Elephas maximus indicus: one gene and its partner. The protein of the gene in region 2 purifies or fractionates together with the protein of the main gene of each other region. This does not show direct contact. Links are inferred from orthologs where the notes say so. Each region holds a gene or a part of one and is shown on either strand. Other genes may lie near its edges.

Region 1 (7,948 bases), on a different chromosome or scaffold from region 2:
CATTCACAAATGATCATAAAAATTAACCACGCTTCATAAAAAAAGGTGAAATTAAACAAACATGAAAGTCAGTATTAAATGATTTACCAGTTACTTTTCGCGATGTTCATTTTCACTCTGTACAGAAGGTGGAGCCAAAGACAAATTTATCCACTGCCTGGTATTCTTTCCCATTAAACAAAAGAAAGGGGAAAAAAAAAATTCTTCCCTCCCTTGACAAATCCTTTTTGGTGTAGCTGCAGAGTAAGATTCACTTAGAGATAAATGTGGGCTACAGAAAGGCATTTAACTTTTACCAAGGTAAAGTCAAGCTTTGACCCTGAAATCTCTCTCCAGGATGATAGAATACACTTTGGAAGCAAATTGTCAGACCTCAGAAATAAACCTGTTGAAAAAAGGATACTAGCACAAGTTGGTGATATAATGTGAAATCTTCACTACTGTGTATCGAAATTTGGTTGACAAATGGTCAATTTAAGAATACATTTTCTGGCTGACTACCAATCTGAGTAGAGTGTTTCTAGACTTGCATACTATTGAGCTCCAAATTAGCCTTCACTCCTTTCTTTCTGTTCAATCAATATTAGATAAAATGGAAATTTGGTGCATAGATAGGAAATTCATTTACTCTGATGTTAACAAAAAGAAATCCATAAGAATGCTAACTTATTCCATTACAGAATCATTCTAGACCCTCCCTGTCTTAGATAATCCTTTTATTCTTCTAGGGTTGCCTTTGAATTCTCCTAGAGATACAGCTGACTTTGTCAAATCTGTTCACCTGACCCTTACCTCAGAGTCAGCTGATACCATCACCAAATGCGTTTTTTAATGTCCATCCTTTCCACCTCAAAACATCTCTTTCTTTATGGTCTGCATTCACTCTTGTTTTAAAGGAATATTGTCCTTTTTTCAGAGTTAATGACTCACCAAGTTCCCAAGTGATATTTTTCTTACTAACAATCCCACATGTGGCCATTTCAAATACCCCTTCTTTTCCCTTACACCACCTGTCCTCCTTTTTTTTTTTTAAGACTGCTTTAAATGTGGAAATCCTTAGGAGCCTGGTGGTGCAGTGGTTAAGTGTTCGGCTGCCGTTGGAATCCACCAGCCACTTCTTGGAAACCATATGGGGCAGTTCTACTCTGTCCTGTAGGGTCACTATGAGTTGGAACTGAATCGACAGCAATGAGTTTGAGTGGGTTTACCACTACAATACTATCCTAACTAGTTAATTACTACCCTAACTATTCTCTGGTTGCTGTGGAGTCAGTTCCGACTCATGATGGCCACATGTGTATCAGAGCAGACTTGTGCTCCATAGGATTTTCAATGGCTGATTTTTCAGAAGTGGATCCCAGGCCTTTCTTCTGAGGCAACTTTTCATTAGCAGCCGAAAGCACTATTTGCACCACCTATGAACTCCCTCTATAGGGTTTCCATGAGTTGGCATCAACACCATGGCAACAGGTTCAACAGGATGGACTCCCTCTAATCTACAGCTACCAGCTATTCTTGAATGTTTATGTGCACCTCACTGATGTGACAGTAATCCACCAGAGCTTTTATGAGATAAACATTGAAAGTCCTTAAAAATTAATCTATTCATCTCTTAAAATTCCAGAAATCATTATTTCCAAACAAAGGTAAAAACTGAAAAGTGCATTTGGTCCTCATATTAAGAAGTGCTTCTTAAAATTCTGAAAAATAGTCAACTCTCCACTGTGTCAGTAATTTACATTTCTCAATGCATAGAACAACATGCGTAAGACAGACTCTAAAGCCTGGCCCATGATGGTGCCTGAAGACATCCTGGAGATGACAGGAATTTTAAATGTTCAGTGTTGCCTGGCTGTAACTATTTCCCCGGGGAAAGATAACATGCTTGGTAAAGTAAAGGGTCAGCAAAAAAGAGGAAGACCCTAGATGAGCTGGATTGACACAGTGGCTGCAACAATGGGCTCAAACATAGCAATGACTGTTAGGATGGCACAGGACCAGGCATTTCATTCTGTTGTGCATGGGATGGCAATGTGTCAGAACCAACTCCATGGCATCTAACAACTAACGTTTTTTCTGCACATAGACAAGGTCTGGCAATCTGGAAGTCAGTGTTTGTATTAATGAAACGGCATTGGCATTTCTGAGAATATGAGAGAAAAAAAATCACTTTTTAAAATCTCTGCCACAATTTTTACAAATCTTTCTAATGGAAACAAGCTTTTAATGTCAGGTAAATGGGATACTTTTTAAAAACTACATTCTTGGTTAAACTATAAGTCACCAGCACTGCTGGAGTATGAGGTGTAACAGGAGTTGCTATTAGCCCTTTGGAGACGCTGCTAGGTGTCTGTGAGAGAAAGCTGTGTCTTCACCATTCCAACAGGGAAGCCATTCACAGTAACCCAGCTCCCCGTGAGCATTATGACTCATGGGATCACAGTTTGGTGCCATTATTTTACAAGGAAAGAAGATCATAAAGAAAGTCTTCGTCTTCTATGAATAATCACGGGAAAATCATTTTGGAAATAGAAGACACAGTACATTCTAAATGTTAAGAGAATAAATTAGTTAGTGGCTCATGCCATATTACTTCAGAAACTGTTTCACGTGATATCCATGAACAATGTCGTTTGGTATAAAGAATTTCTTTAGTTCTATTTCCAATTGGTCATACAGGTTACAGGTTTAAAAAGAAATAGCAGAAAACTTAAGATATCCATACTCTTTTAGAGACCTAATAAAATAGAATTCAAAATAAACACAATCTTTTGCTTTAAAAATCCTGTCATAGAAAGCCAATTTTAACTTTTCTTCATATAATTAACTCTGAATCAGAACCTTGAGAATTCTTTTAATAAAATGGATAATATCAGTAATAATTGTACTTTGCAAAAGTAAGCCAAATAATTACGTAAATTAACTTCAAGCATAACCTTTTTTTAAAAAGGGGAAAAGATTTTCTTATAATGAAAAGAGTGAATCATATATTCATGAATGTGTTCTGAACGCAAGGAAATAATTTTTAGTTAATGCAAAAGAAATATGCTTTTTTGAAGGAAAGGGCAATATGAATACAAAACCAACAACAATATGTACACGTTGTTGATCTTGAAGACTTGAAAGTCTGATTACCATTTCTATTTCCATAACATCTTTTTTTTTTCTCCTTCCTTAAAGAAAAATATACCTTTGGAAACTATACAGCTAGAAAATGAGAGAGTGCAAAATCATGTCTTAAAACTATAACATTTCAGAAAATGTTTTATTAGTCACTTCAATGAAAGTATATTTAGTGAAAGGTATCTTCCAGGAAATACTTGCCATTCTTCTTTTCTCTGGTATTGGTATAGTGTGAAAAGTTAAGAAAATGAAACCTGGTGAGTTTGCTTTGTTTGCGAGAATAAATACTGATAGACTTTCCTGTCCACTCTCAGGAGTATCACTGAAGCCTGTTTATGGGGATTTGTCCCACCACAGCCCTCTGCTCTGGCATCTGGGGAGCCCTTAAAGGAGCTGCCCTGTCTCAGAATGAAGTGGCATGACTCAGGCCATTATACAGACTATGCAGAGACCTGAAGAGGTAGAGCCATGGAAGCGGTGGATAAGCACATAAAGATTATATGCACAACTTTACTGTCGATGGGCAGAAAACTCTCTAGTGGGTTTTAGAGAGAGAGCTGGTCTTAAGGAGAGTCAAATAGTTTTTGGACTCACTCAATGCCTACTTAACCTATCAGGCAACTTTAGCCTGTGTTTGATAGAAATAGCCTCGTATTTTCACTACAAAATATTTAGTTTTTAGTGTTGTTGCCATGTAGGGGCTGAGAGCATACTATGCACTTTCAATTCCCCGGAGATCTGGTAGAGATTAGAAATCAGTATTTCACAGTTTAACAAAACTGATTTTTTTATATATATATATGCTAAACTGCTCAACTGCAGGAAAAAGTAAAAATTCTAAAGTGCCAAAGGATTTAGAAGGTGGATTAAGGATGGATAGAAACCAAAAAAACCAAACCCACTGCCATCGAGTCGATTCTGACTCATAGCGATCCTATAGGGCAGAGCAGAACTGCCCCATAGAGTTTCGAAGGAGCGCCTGGCAGATTTGAACTGCCGACCTCTTTGTTAGCAGCTGTAGCACTTAACCACTACGCCACCAGGGTTTCCAAAATTCAACCATATATGTCCCTTTTTTAAATGTTCCTGCCCCATCCCCACCATCTCCTTTGTTGTCTCTACCTAAATGAAGAGGAAAAGAATTAGATCATCCAATAGGTCATTCACACCCACCTCTAACTTCACACACACCTTGGCCGATATGAAACAAGTTTACACTGGTTAAATTCTTTGCCAACATTTTTTTTTTTTTTTACTCTAAAACATTTTTCTCTTATTTTCAAAAAGGTGATAACATCACAAAATATACAATTTTTCATTTTCGCTGGAATTTTGGTGAAAAAAGGACTAAAATCCATCGTTGTTATCTGTAAGGAGTAACTCTCAGGAGCGGCACGTCTCTGTTTAATGAGATTTTGTTTTTTTCTCATCAGCAAATTTAAACCACAACTTTATCTCAACCTAGATACTCTTCTCCCCCACCCTTCCAAGTTCACCAGCGTCCTCTGGGCTCTCCTCCCCGCCTTTCCTTTTTCCCTCCCCTTTCTTCTAGCCCCTCCTCCTAGTTGAGTCAGTGGCTTGAAACTTTTAAAAGCTCTCTGCTCCAAGTTAGAAAAAAGCTTTTGGGAGGTATCAGCACTTTTCTTTCATTAGAGGGAAGACGTGAGGAAAGTACCAGCAGCAGCAGACATTTAAACTTTAAATAGACAGGTCTGAGTGCCTGAGCTTACTTTTTTCATTTTACTTCATCTTCCAAGGAGGTCAATCACTTGGCGTGCCTACTTCACTTCTTTTAAGCGAAGAGTAAGTGAAACAACATTTTACCTATTAGTTTCTTTTTCTACAAGTAAGACTTTTCTAAAGTTTTTAAATGTGTTAAAAAGTAGCTTTGACTTATTTAAACTGTAATGGAAGAGTGAACTTTAAAGTGTTTCTGTAGTTTTAAAGTTAAATTGTACTGAATTTATATTTGACTCTTAAAAAGAGTTTCTACTAATGATGCAACAGGCAAAATGAGGTTCAGATCTTTCCTATTAGAAGAAAGAACTAGTTTACTGAGTATCTGGTACTTCATTTTGGAGTATAATTGTCTTAGAGTAAAATTTTGCTTTTTGGTAATCAGCGATAGTCTAGGGGCTCTGTAATTTGTTGGGGGGGGGCCGAGGAGCCTTGGTTGGGGAGGTGACTGACAACAGCCCTAAAATCAAAGTGTAAATTTGCTTAGCGAGCTTCCTATAGCATTCTACACTGGGTGCTTTTTCATATGGAAATCTTGATTGATGTTCAATAGCCTTGCAAAGCAGATTTCTTAACAAAGTGCTTTGTTAAAACCTTGCGGTTACTTGACTTCCACGTGGTCTCTTCCTAGGATTTTTTCTCCCAGTAAGCAAAAAAAAAAAAAAGTATAAAAATCAGACTTGTAATATGGGGCAGAGTTGTAATAGTAAGGTTTGTAAAGCAACAGTGTATAGTTACTGTGTTAGCCACTACTATGGAATTACTATGGAAAGATTTGAGACCCTCAGGAAATGAGGTTTATCCCGACCACGTTGGCAATTCAGGAGATGAATTCCCTCGAGTAAGGTAGCGGTTACTTACAGAACGTTAGAAGACAACAGACGTCAGAAAAATATATACCACGGTGCATTTCCAAAACCATGTCCAAAGACGGGAGCTCCTAGAAAGTATAGGGAAAAGGGAATTTCTTAAACAGCGCCTCAGAGGGAGCTGACCGCTCCGGCCCTCCCCACCCCCCACCCCCCCCGCCCGCCGCCCGAACCTTTAACAGAATTGAGAGCTCTGGGCGACTTTTTAGAAGTTCGAGCTGCCAGGGTGCTTGCCAGTAAGCCAAGATTTATTTATTTTTAAAATAGTTCAATTTTTGAGTGTTCTTATTGGTAATACACATTCGGTTTACCAGATATGCAACCATGGATTTTTGCGCCCGGAAAGGATTTTCTCTGTTCTGATCCACAGACTAAAGTAATTAAATTCTTGGTGTGACCCAGAAGTTTGAAGTATTTGCACCAGAAAATGCTGAAAAGCAATAAAAATGAAACCTTTGCAGTGGTCGGGGGCCGGGGCGGGCGCCGGGCGCCTCCTGCCATTTTAGCACCCGCCGGGCTCACCCTGGATTCCCGCGCAGCCCAAACCTCTGGGGGGGTTTTGAGATGTTTCGTTCAAATCCCTACAAATCAATTCTGAGTTCCGCCACTGAAAAGGAAGCGGTGGTAGGGAGAGGAGGGAGCTGAGAAGGAGATGGGCTGCATGCCAAATGGTAAAAGAGGAGCAAGTGATTGACTTAATTAAGCTTGTCAATCCAATTTCCCATTCCTCCCACCCCAACCACAGTTTCCTTTTTTTAAAAAAAAAAAACTTACCGAATCCTATGATATTTGCATTGGTAAGGAAAACCTGAATACCTGGGGAATTATCGTGCTTAAATTGCACTTGTAGCTCTCCTGAAAATTCTCGAAACTCCCCAGGAACCAGTGGAGGAGAAAAAGCCCCATAATGAAATGAGGCAAGAGATAGTGACTTGTCGTCCAAAGGTAAATTAGTATTTGATTCAGTGGATCGGCCACACATAACCTCTTAGTTACACATAAAATGTTTGCTGAGCATCTCTGATTAAGTTCCTTGAGAAGATGTCCTTGACCAACGTCACATTCAGCCTGGTCCTTACGGACTGGGTGGTGGGAGCACGTGAGCCACAGAACGTGGTGAAAAGAGTCCAGACACTGTTTGGAGGTGAATTTAGTTTCTCTTGCTTCCTGAAATAAGTCAGTAAGGAGAAGAAAGGTGTTCAATATTACCTTAGGAAAATTGGGCACACAAACCCAGTTGTAAATGTCTCGTAGCAATTTAAAGAATAGATTATGCAAATTTTAAGGAAGCCTATTTTAATCTTTAAAGGATTACTGAGGATATAAACCTGTGACAAACCAAACCCTTTGTGGTCTATTCCAACTGAGCAACCCTACAGGACAGAGTAGAACTGCCCCATAGGTTTTCCAAGGAGTGGCTGGTGGATTCGAACTACCAATCTTTTGCTTAGCAGCGGAGCTCTTAACCACTGCACCCCCAGGGCTCCAAAAACCTGTGATAGTGCAGTGAAAATCTCATTAAACTAACCCATCCCCAAGAATGTACCCTTGGGAGAAAAGTGATTCATTCTTCTGGGTAGGCCGAGTGGATCAAAAATCATACCAAAGGCAGAAAGTAGATTCTGTTTCCTGGCATTGTTTGTTGTTCCTCTAAGTGTGGCTGTGTTGTACGTCCCAAAGGCAGGATATAGTTATTATCACCTGTACTTTTCCTGGAAAAGGCAGTGGTAGTGTCTTGCTCCTACTTTCTTCACCCGTGTAAACATGCTCTGCATTTTTTTGTTTGTTTGTTTGAATAGCCTTTTGAAGTTTATCACCAGAGCTGTCCTATGCACTCAGTTCCTCACCCTTTATGGCTGGGATTCCTACAGTGTTGACCGTGCATGGGAAGCATGATTCTAAAGATACACCTCAGCAATCATCTAAAAGGGTGTGACCTCTGATATTGAGGGTGTTTTGTTATTTAGATATTTCCAATTCTTGCATAGGGGAGGGAAAACTCATTTCTTTTAAAACATCCAGAGGTGTAGCTTGGCATGACCCTTTTAGCTTTTATATATGATACCCTGGTGGAAGGAATGATAAGAAAGTCAGCCATGATTAAGACATTCTACTCCACCTTTCCTGTGTGACTTCCCTTCAAGATTCTCTCTTGTTTGAATAGATGTGTTAGAGCTTAGCCACACACACCAGCTCAGTTCTGGAGAGAAAAGTAAAGA
Region 2 (7,770 bases):
CTGCCTCTGCATCTGCTGCTGCAGCTCCATGAAGTTGGCAGAGCCCAGGCCCAGGCTGCCCAGCCCCAGGATGCCCCCAAAGCCAGCTGTGGGGAGGGGACAGGGTCACATTCTACTCAAGTGGCCTTTCCCCTACCTGGCCAAAGGTACTGAATACAGATCTCCAGGGTGGGCCCAATCTTTTCTCTGCTTCTCACAGCTCCCTTTTCCACTTACTCCCACAGCCTAGCCCTGATCCACGCGAAGAGCCATTAGACTGAGACCTCTTGGACTGCAGAGGCTTAGGCTACCCCAGAGCTGAGCACAGCACCTAGCAAAGAGCGGGCAATCAGTGACAGTCTAAGTAAATAAATATTCCCTATCCTGGCTCCTGCTGGGCCTATCATTTCTCCAAACTCACAGGTTCTTTTAATATCCTCACCCAGGGTTCCCCACGTCCCCAGCCCCATTTCTCCCCTCACTCTTAATACTTCCCCTCCTCCAGGAAGCCCTCACAGAGTAGTCTCCTCCCTGGTTTGGCTCAAATACCAGTGTTTAGAGCCCTGTGTCCAGGGGTCACCTACCCTATCAGACCAGGATCAGGGACCATATTTCTCCCTCCTCTTGACTCTCCCCAACTCCCAAACCAAAACAGCACTGTGTTCTCCTTTCTAGGGGCTTACAGAGTATGGATGCAGTTGCACTGGGGGGTCCCTCCCCAGCCCCTGGGGAGGGCCCCCCCCCACTGCTCCTCCGGCTTCCACTGCCAGCATCTGAAGTGGTGCTGCCAGAGGTGGAGGGCTGGGCAGGGGTGGCGGGTGAAGCAGGCATGGTGGAGGGTGCAGAGGCAGGGTCAGGAGTGGAGGGGGAAGAAGCAGTGGTAGCAGCCGGATCTTGAACCCTGAGGACAGAGAAAGGAGAATCCTGGTTGGAGTATACACCCCAAGAACAAGGAAGGCACCACAAAGATCAGACTGCTCTTTCTTGGCTGGGCAGTTACTACCCTAACTATGACCCTCAGGCAGGAAGAGGGAGGGGAAGGGGAGGTCAGTAAACTAGGGAGTGAGGGCGGAGCTAGTATTATCTGTCTTCAGGGCATTCTGGGAGGGGTAAATCAGGATCCCTTCGGAGGTGAGATTATAGCCTGCCTGAAAATTCATCCAGGAGCCACCTTCCCAGGCCTTGGCATAGGCCCTCTAGGTTCGGATGAGCTGATGGGTGAGAAAGCCTCAGATGTGGAAGTGAGAGGCCCAATCAGAAGCTGGGCCTGCTTATCTCCTGAACTTACTTCTGAGGGGTCTTGATGACCAGATGGACAGTGAGCCCATCCTTGATCCCATGCTGGTTCAGTGTGTCCCCATCCTTGAGGATCTTGCCGGCAAAGATCAAGACGAGCTGGTCCTGCTGGGCCTTAAACCTCCGGGAGATTTCCTCTTTGAACTGGGATCAAGAGACAGAGGTCCTTGTGGAGGGTGCCTGGGCTCCACCCACTAGGGACCCTGCCTCTTCTTTAAGAGCTTTTGCATTCCCTTGCTCCCACCTCTAGTCATGGGAAGTCCTTTCTTCAGTCTCAAGCTGCAATAAACAGCTCCTTTCTTACCCAAGGAGATGGATTATTGAGAGGCTCCTCTCTCAGTTCCATCCCAGGGTCTTCTACCCTAGAAAGTCCTTGCTGCTATCTGCCATCCCACCTCCAGTCTGTCCACCCAGCTTCCTGTGAGGGTGCTGCCTGGGCAGCCCTCCTCATCCCAATTCCTTAAACAGCCTTGGACCCAGACTGTCTTCCTTCAGTTTTTTCTTCTCAGACCTCAAGTTTCCCTCCTCCGCTTAGTCTCAGTTTCTGCTCAGTTCAGCGTTCCTGAACTACAACAAATAGATCCCAGTCATTGAATATTTACTACTCACCACTTAACCGTCTAAGTCCCATAAGATACGTACTAATGACTAGCTCCATTTTAGAGACGAGAAATTTGAGGATCAGCGAGGTTAAGTAATTTATCCTGAGCAGAATGGGAATTGGGCTTTGACCAGGCTCTTAACCGTTCAGACACACTGCCTCTCAATTGGAGCTGATTTCAAATTCAGCTGTGCAGGGAAAAGGATTTAAATTCTGGAATGGAGTGGTTTTATAAGGTTGGGAGGCAGTGGTGGCACCAAGGGCTGCCTGAGGGAGACCTAGAATCCCCAAACTCTATCAGCCCCTCCCACTAAAAAAAAAACACTCAAGTAAAAACAGTGCACTTGCTAAGCAAAGACAGTTAAGACTCCTCTTCCAACCAGAAAGCCTATCTTAAGCCCCGCCTATGTGAAATTTTGGAGCAGCCACTGGGGGTGAAGAACACAAGCGATATTCTATATTTCAACAATTGTTTATTGAGCACCTACTGCACACTGCGTAAAAACCTGAGGAGCTGAGAATCAAAAGAAATCACCTCAATTTGAGAGTAGAAAGGATCTGGGCAGAGGAAAATCCTCTCCCCACCGCCGCAGGTTTTCACCCAAAACGCTGGGAGTCCTGGGAGGCATACAGAAGGCGCCTGGCGCTCTCGGCTTGCGCCCTGGCCCCTTCTGGCTCAGCACCTTGCCGGTGCCCCCCGCTCAGCCTTGGCGCCTCGAACCCCGACTGGTCACCCGAGCGCACACTCCCCTCAAACCCAGGGTCATTCCCTTTTCCCGGTGCAAGGTGCCCCCTCTTCACTCTCCACCACGCCCCCAGCCCTGGCCACAAGGCAAACCCCGGGCCCCCCCCACGCGCGCGCGCCATGCTCCCCCGGATCTACCCTTTGCAGGGCGCCCCCTACCCGCCTCTCCTTCCTTCCCGCTCCTTGGGGTCCCTGCTGACCCCCTGCTCTTCTCTCCAGGGCCCTCCTGGTGGTCCCGACAGTCTCTCAGAGACCCCCACATCTCCTCACAGACCCCCCTCCTCCGCGCTCGGTCCCCGCCAGCCGTACTACCTCCTTGACCGAGGCTCGATCGCAGATCACAATTTCCTCCTTGTCCTTGGGGGTCTTGACGGTGACCCGAATGGGGGGCCTCGTCTCGGCCCCGCTCGGCTCCGCCATGCCGCCGCCGCCGCCGCCACCACCCGGCCGCCCGCCAGCCCGCCCCGGCTCCTCCTCCTCCTCTTCCCCGCCCGGCCGGTCCGGCTCGGCTCGGGCGCCTCCAACACTCCCCTCCCCTCCCCAAGGCTTCACCGCCCCCTCCGGACCAGCCGCAGCCACAGCGCCCCGGGCGGACCGGGGGGACCACTGCAGCGGGCCCGCCCAGGGCCAAGCCCCGGGTTCGGGAGCCTGGACAGGGCCTTGCAGGGTAGTAGCCCCTGGATGGGGCTCTGGGCGGGAGCGGGGCGTGTCCTTCACTCGCGGGGCGGGGAGCAGAGGGCGGGTTCCGGGCGAGAGACCACCGCCCACCCAAGCTGGCCCGAGCCGCGCCGCGGTCCAGTCTGGCCCAAGGCTGACCCCGCCCCCTCCGCGGGTAACTCCCGCTCCGGGACAAAGGACTTTCTGTGTCGCCGCTTTATCACTGTGCCCTGTGATAACTTGGCTTTTCCTGAGAGGCCCAGATCCCTTCCAGGCCTTCTCTTGCTCGATTTGGAGGTTGAATTTTTTCCCACCTCTGGACGTCCGCCTAGGGTCTCATATCTAGGATTGACCCTGTTCTCCCGAGGGTCGTGACCCGAATGAAGGACTGTTAAATACGGTGTCAGGGATCTGGCCTTTGCCTAGGTGGCTTTTCTGAGCCTAGGTTTCCTCAAGCTAATAATGCCTATAGCCTCATCCCACAGAATCGTGCATAAGATAGAAAACTGCTTTGGAAAGTAACCAAAGGTGTGCTTGACAAATACAGGGATTCTATTGTTATTATTATTGAATCGTGGGTTGCTAAGCGGACATGACGCCTTCTCTCTCTTCGAAGGGGTTAAATGTCCTTCCAGTACTTCCAAGGGCCTTTTACTCCCGCTCTTTTCCCCCATAACCTCGTGGACTGACTGGAAAGGCAAACTATAGTTCCCAGGGTGCCTCGCGAGGCAACAAGGAACTACAATTCCCAGAGCCCTCCGCGGTGGGAAGGAGTTAAAGCAGACCCACAATAGCCAGGCCAAGAAACTACAACTCCCAGGATGTTTCGGGGCAGGGGAGCTGGGCTACGGGGAGCGGCAGGCGGAGCCCAGCGGGAGGAAATCCAGGGTATCTGAGTGGAAAAGCCTTGGGTTAGGTGCTGCAGGCATGCTGCGCCCCAAGGCTTTGACCCAGGTGCTAAGCCAAGCCAACACTGGAGGCGTCCAGAGCACCCTGTGAGTGCGGACTGAGGACTTGAGCGGCGCGGGGCTCTCAAAGGGAGGGGTGGGGAAGGATCGCCTGGAAGGAAAGAGGCAGCAGTGGGCAGCATCTGGGGAAACCCGCCGGGAGAGGCTTTTCTAGAAAAGGGAAGCTGGCGTGCTGGGTGTTGGTGCAGGTTCCGGGACATACTCAGCCCAGACCCTTGCTTCCTAGAAGCGCCAGTTGCAGGAGTTGGGGTGGGAACTCAGGCGTTTTTTTCCCCTGCTCTAAGCACGTTGATATCCCTCGCCAGGCTGCTGAATAATGAGGGGTCGCTGCTAGCCTACTCGGGTTACGGAGACACGGACGCCCGGGTCACCGCGGCCATCGCGAGTAACATCTGGGCCGCCTATGACCGGAATGGGAACCAAGCGTTTAATGAAGACAATCTCAAATTCATTCTCATGGACTGCATGGTATGGAAAGGGGAGCCTGGCTTCCTCTATCCCCCAAGGGGATCCCCAGGGGGCTACCCAGACCCCATCCTGGATGGTTGGAGGGCCAGGAACAGGATCTCCAAGTCTTAAGAGGTGATCTGCAGCAGTATTTATAAGAGGCAGGACCTTATTCATTAAGTGGTGGTAAGGAAGGGGTTCTGGGCCAGAGGACTCACTGGGGTTCTGGTCTCAGCCAGCCACTTAAAAGTTGTGAGACCTTGGGTAAGTCATTTGACCTCTCTGAGCTTCCTCATCTTTAAGGTGAAAACAATAACACACATACCCTTGCCCAACTTACTGGGTTCTTTTGAAGATCAAATTAAAGAATGGATATAAACTACAGAGGGATGTGCAGACTCAAGGTGTTGTCATCCCAAGTTCACTGACTCACAAAACCATAAAGTTGTCAGGGTCTCCAGACCCTAGTAGAACCCTTTTAGTTTACAGAGAAAGGAAATGAAGTCCAGAAAGGGGAAGTGGCTGTTAAGACTGTGAACTCCATAGGAGCAGGGACTGTCTTACCTTTGTATCTCCTTATTCAACAAATATTTACTAAGTCTCTGCAGTGTTTGGGGGAATAGCAGGGAAGTAGTGAACAGGACAGACAAAAACCCCAGCCCTCAGGAAGTCAGTAAGTACGTTAGGTGGTGAAAATGCTATGGAGCAAAATAGTGTCAGAGACAATCTCACTAAAAAGGTAATATTTGATTGAAGATCTGAAGGAAGCTGGGAAGCAAGCCATGTGGCTATCTTGGGGAAGAACATTTCTGACAGAACAGCAAATGCAAAGGCCCTCAGGCAGAATATGCCTGGTCAAGGAACAACAAGGCTAATGGGATGGAGTGGCATGAGCATAGGTGAGTAGTAGGAGATGAGCCCCGGAAAGGCACCTGACTCCCAGCCCAGAGTGGGTATCTACTGAAGGTTTGCTGAACCAAATTAAATAGGCCCCAAGAGCGAACTCTCTAGGAAGGGTCTCCACTGTAGCTTGGCTACCTGCTTCATTCCTACCCTCTGAATGTCATTTCAGTTTAACAGGTGACCCCTAGGGTACCTAGTCCACAGCTAGTGCTATACGGCAATGATTGTCAAAACTTTTTTTTTAAACCACAACCTGGTCATAAAAAATACATTTTATGTCACAGCCTAGTACACACACTCACTGAAACAAAAGTTTCGGGAGATGGTACTTCCCTTACCACATGCAATGCTCTTCATTTCTCTTCCCTCCATTTTTTTTTTTCCCCATAAATGCGGATCAACCTTTTAAATAGATCTCTTAACCCTGTAGTCAAACTTGCAGTTTGCAAAGCATCACTAAGGGAAAAGAAGAGAAATATAAGTTGGGTTACTGCTCCCAACTCCCTCACAGTGTCTTGGGTTGAGCCCATAATAATAACATCTCCCATCTGGACAGCCCTTTGCAGATACAAACTCCTTAGTGTATACTGGCACCCCCACCAACTGGAGTGAGGTAGGGATTATAGAAAGAGAAACCAAGTTTTTGGGAGATTAAGTGAGTTTCCCAGAGCAACTTGGTTAAAAGATGGCTGTGCTGAGGCTAGAACGCAGGCTCAGGACCCCATGTCCAGGGCTATAGTCAAAGCCCCCCAGTTGAACCTCCTGCTGTACCCAGGGCGTGCAAGGAAAATAAGTCCCTCTAGGGCCAGAGGAGCCCTTTGGGAAGGAGGAGGCTGAGAGTGCCAAGCAGAGCATCGCATCCCATTATATCCCCTCCCCCACCAGGAGGGCCGAGTGGCCATCACCCGAGTGGCCAACCTTCTGCTTTGTATGTATGCCAAGGAGACCGTGGGCTTCGGAATGCTCAAGGCCAAGGTGTGTATGCGCCCATCACCCATCCCTCCACAACCCCGGGCCAAGCCTTCATGCTTTATCATCATGTCCATTCCCACCCTCACTACCTTTCTGGGGCCTTCCCATGTCCACCCAGTCCATGCCTGGTGTGGTCTAGCTCCCAGGAGCAGACTGAGGCTGAGGCTGAGACTGGGTGTTCAGAGCATATGGCATTGGGGGGTATAGGTCTTGGATCCCATATTGCTCTAGTGGAAGGCCAGGGTGGGACTGATAACTGTTCCCCCTCTTGCAGGCTCAGGCCTTGGTGCAGTACCTGGAGGAGCCCCTCACCCAGGTAGCGGCATCATGACAGCTATAGACGGAACCTGGGATCAGAAAAGAGAGATGACCATTTGGAGGGGCAGGGCCCCTTGGGAAAACCTGCCTGGGCTGTGGTGGGAGGATGAGACTTTGTTTTTCCAAGAATAAACTTAAACTCCTATCCTGTGTTTGGCTACTTTCTTGGGTGGGAGGGATGGGAGGAGGTGGGAAGAGCAGGGATCGCTAGTAGGATTCCTCATGTTCTTCAAAGCAGACTTCTACCCCCTCCTTCACCACAATCTCCCAAAACCAAATGGTTTCTGGCAGTGGTGCCCCTACTCCCTTGGCCTCTCCAGCGGTGTGACCTCACCTAGCCCCTGCCACTCACAGCAGAATCTTCCCACCTGGCTGACAGAACCTTGGGAGGGGCTCAGAGGAGTAAGGGCCTGATGGCGGTCGTGTTGGACAAAGAATATCTGACGCTGGGAGTTCAGTGTCCATTCCAGGCTTTGCAGTGGGAGGTGTGGTGCCTTTTCTACCTTTGGAGTGGGAGGGTACCCCTAGGCCACCTCCAAGGGGCTGACACCCTCTTCCTTTTTTCCCAGGCATTCACATTCTCAGACCTCTGGATCTTGAGGTCTTTTTTTTTTAACGTCAATAGAAAATTTTTTAATAGAAATGAACATAGTGCAAATATAATGCAAGAAAGGATAGACTAATATATGATGCTAATATAACAAGAAAACTATTGAAAAATAAAGATAAATCTATACTTTATGATACATAATTAATCATGGTAGATTATTGCAGTTAGGATGTGTGGATCTTGAGGCCTTTTGCAGACAGGATGCCTTTGCTGTGAGGCCTGAGGTCGTGGGGAGAGAATAAAAGAAGCCCAGAAATGGGCCTCTCAGAGGTCT

What was found.
Region 1: the proteins of UBQLN4 (region 2) and GJA1 purify together in Homo sapiens (affinity purification with western blotting; 3 studies listed by BioGRID). This does not show direct contact. The link is inferred for Elephas maximus indicus from reciprocal best matches to the Homo sapiens genes UBQLN4 and GJA1.

Annotation. Positions count from the first base shown.
Region 1 is NC_064819.1:188,743,675-188,751,622, forward strand, and holds the start of GJA1 (gap junction alpha-1 protein), read left to right. Parts: upstream 1-4,718; 5' UTR 4,719-4,926; intron 4,927-5,721; exon of another isoform or gene 5,722-5,800; intron 5,801-6,503; exon of another isoform or gene 6,504-6,745; intron 6,746-7,948. UniProt on the Homo sapiens protein: Gap junction protein that acts as a regulator of bladder capacity. A gap junction consists of a cluster of closely packed pairs of transmembrane channels, the connexons, through which materials of low MW diffuse from one cell to a neighboring cell.
Region 2 is NC_064821.1:193,862,724-193,870,493, forward strand, and holds the start of UBQLN4 (ubiquilin-4), read right to left. Parts: upstream 3,076-7,770; 5' UTR 3,042-3,075; coding exon 2,934-3,041; intron 1,420-2,933; coding exon 1,268-1,419; intron 881-1,267; coding exon 663-880; intron 87-662; coding exon 1-86. Other genes in the region: ragulator complex protein LAMTOR2, read left to right, coding at 4,206-4,273, 4,552-4,714, 6,482-6,571, 6,843-6,899. UniProt on the Homo sapiens protein: Regulator of protein degradation that mediates the proteasomal targeting of misfolded, mislocalized or accumulated proteins.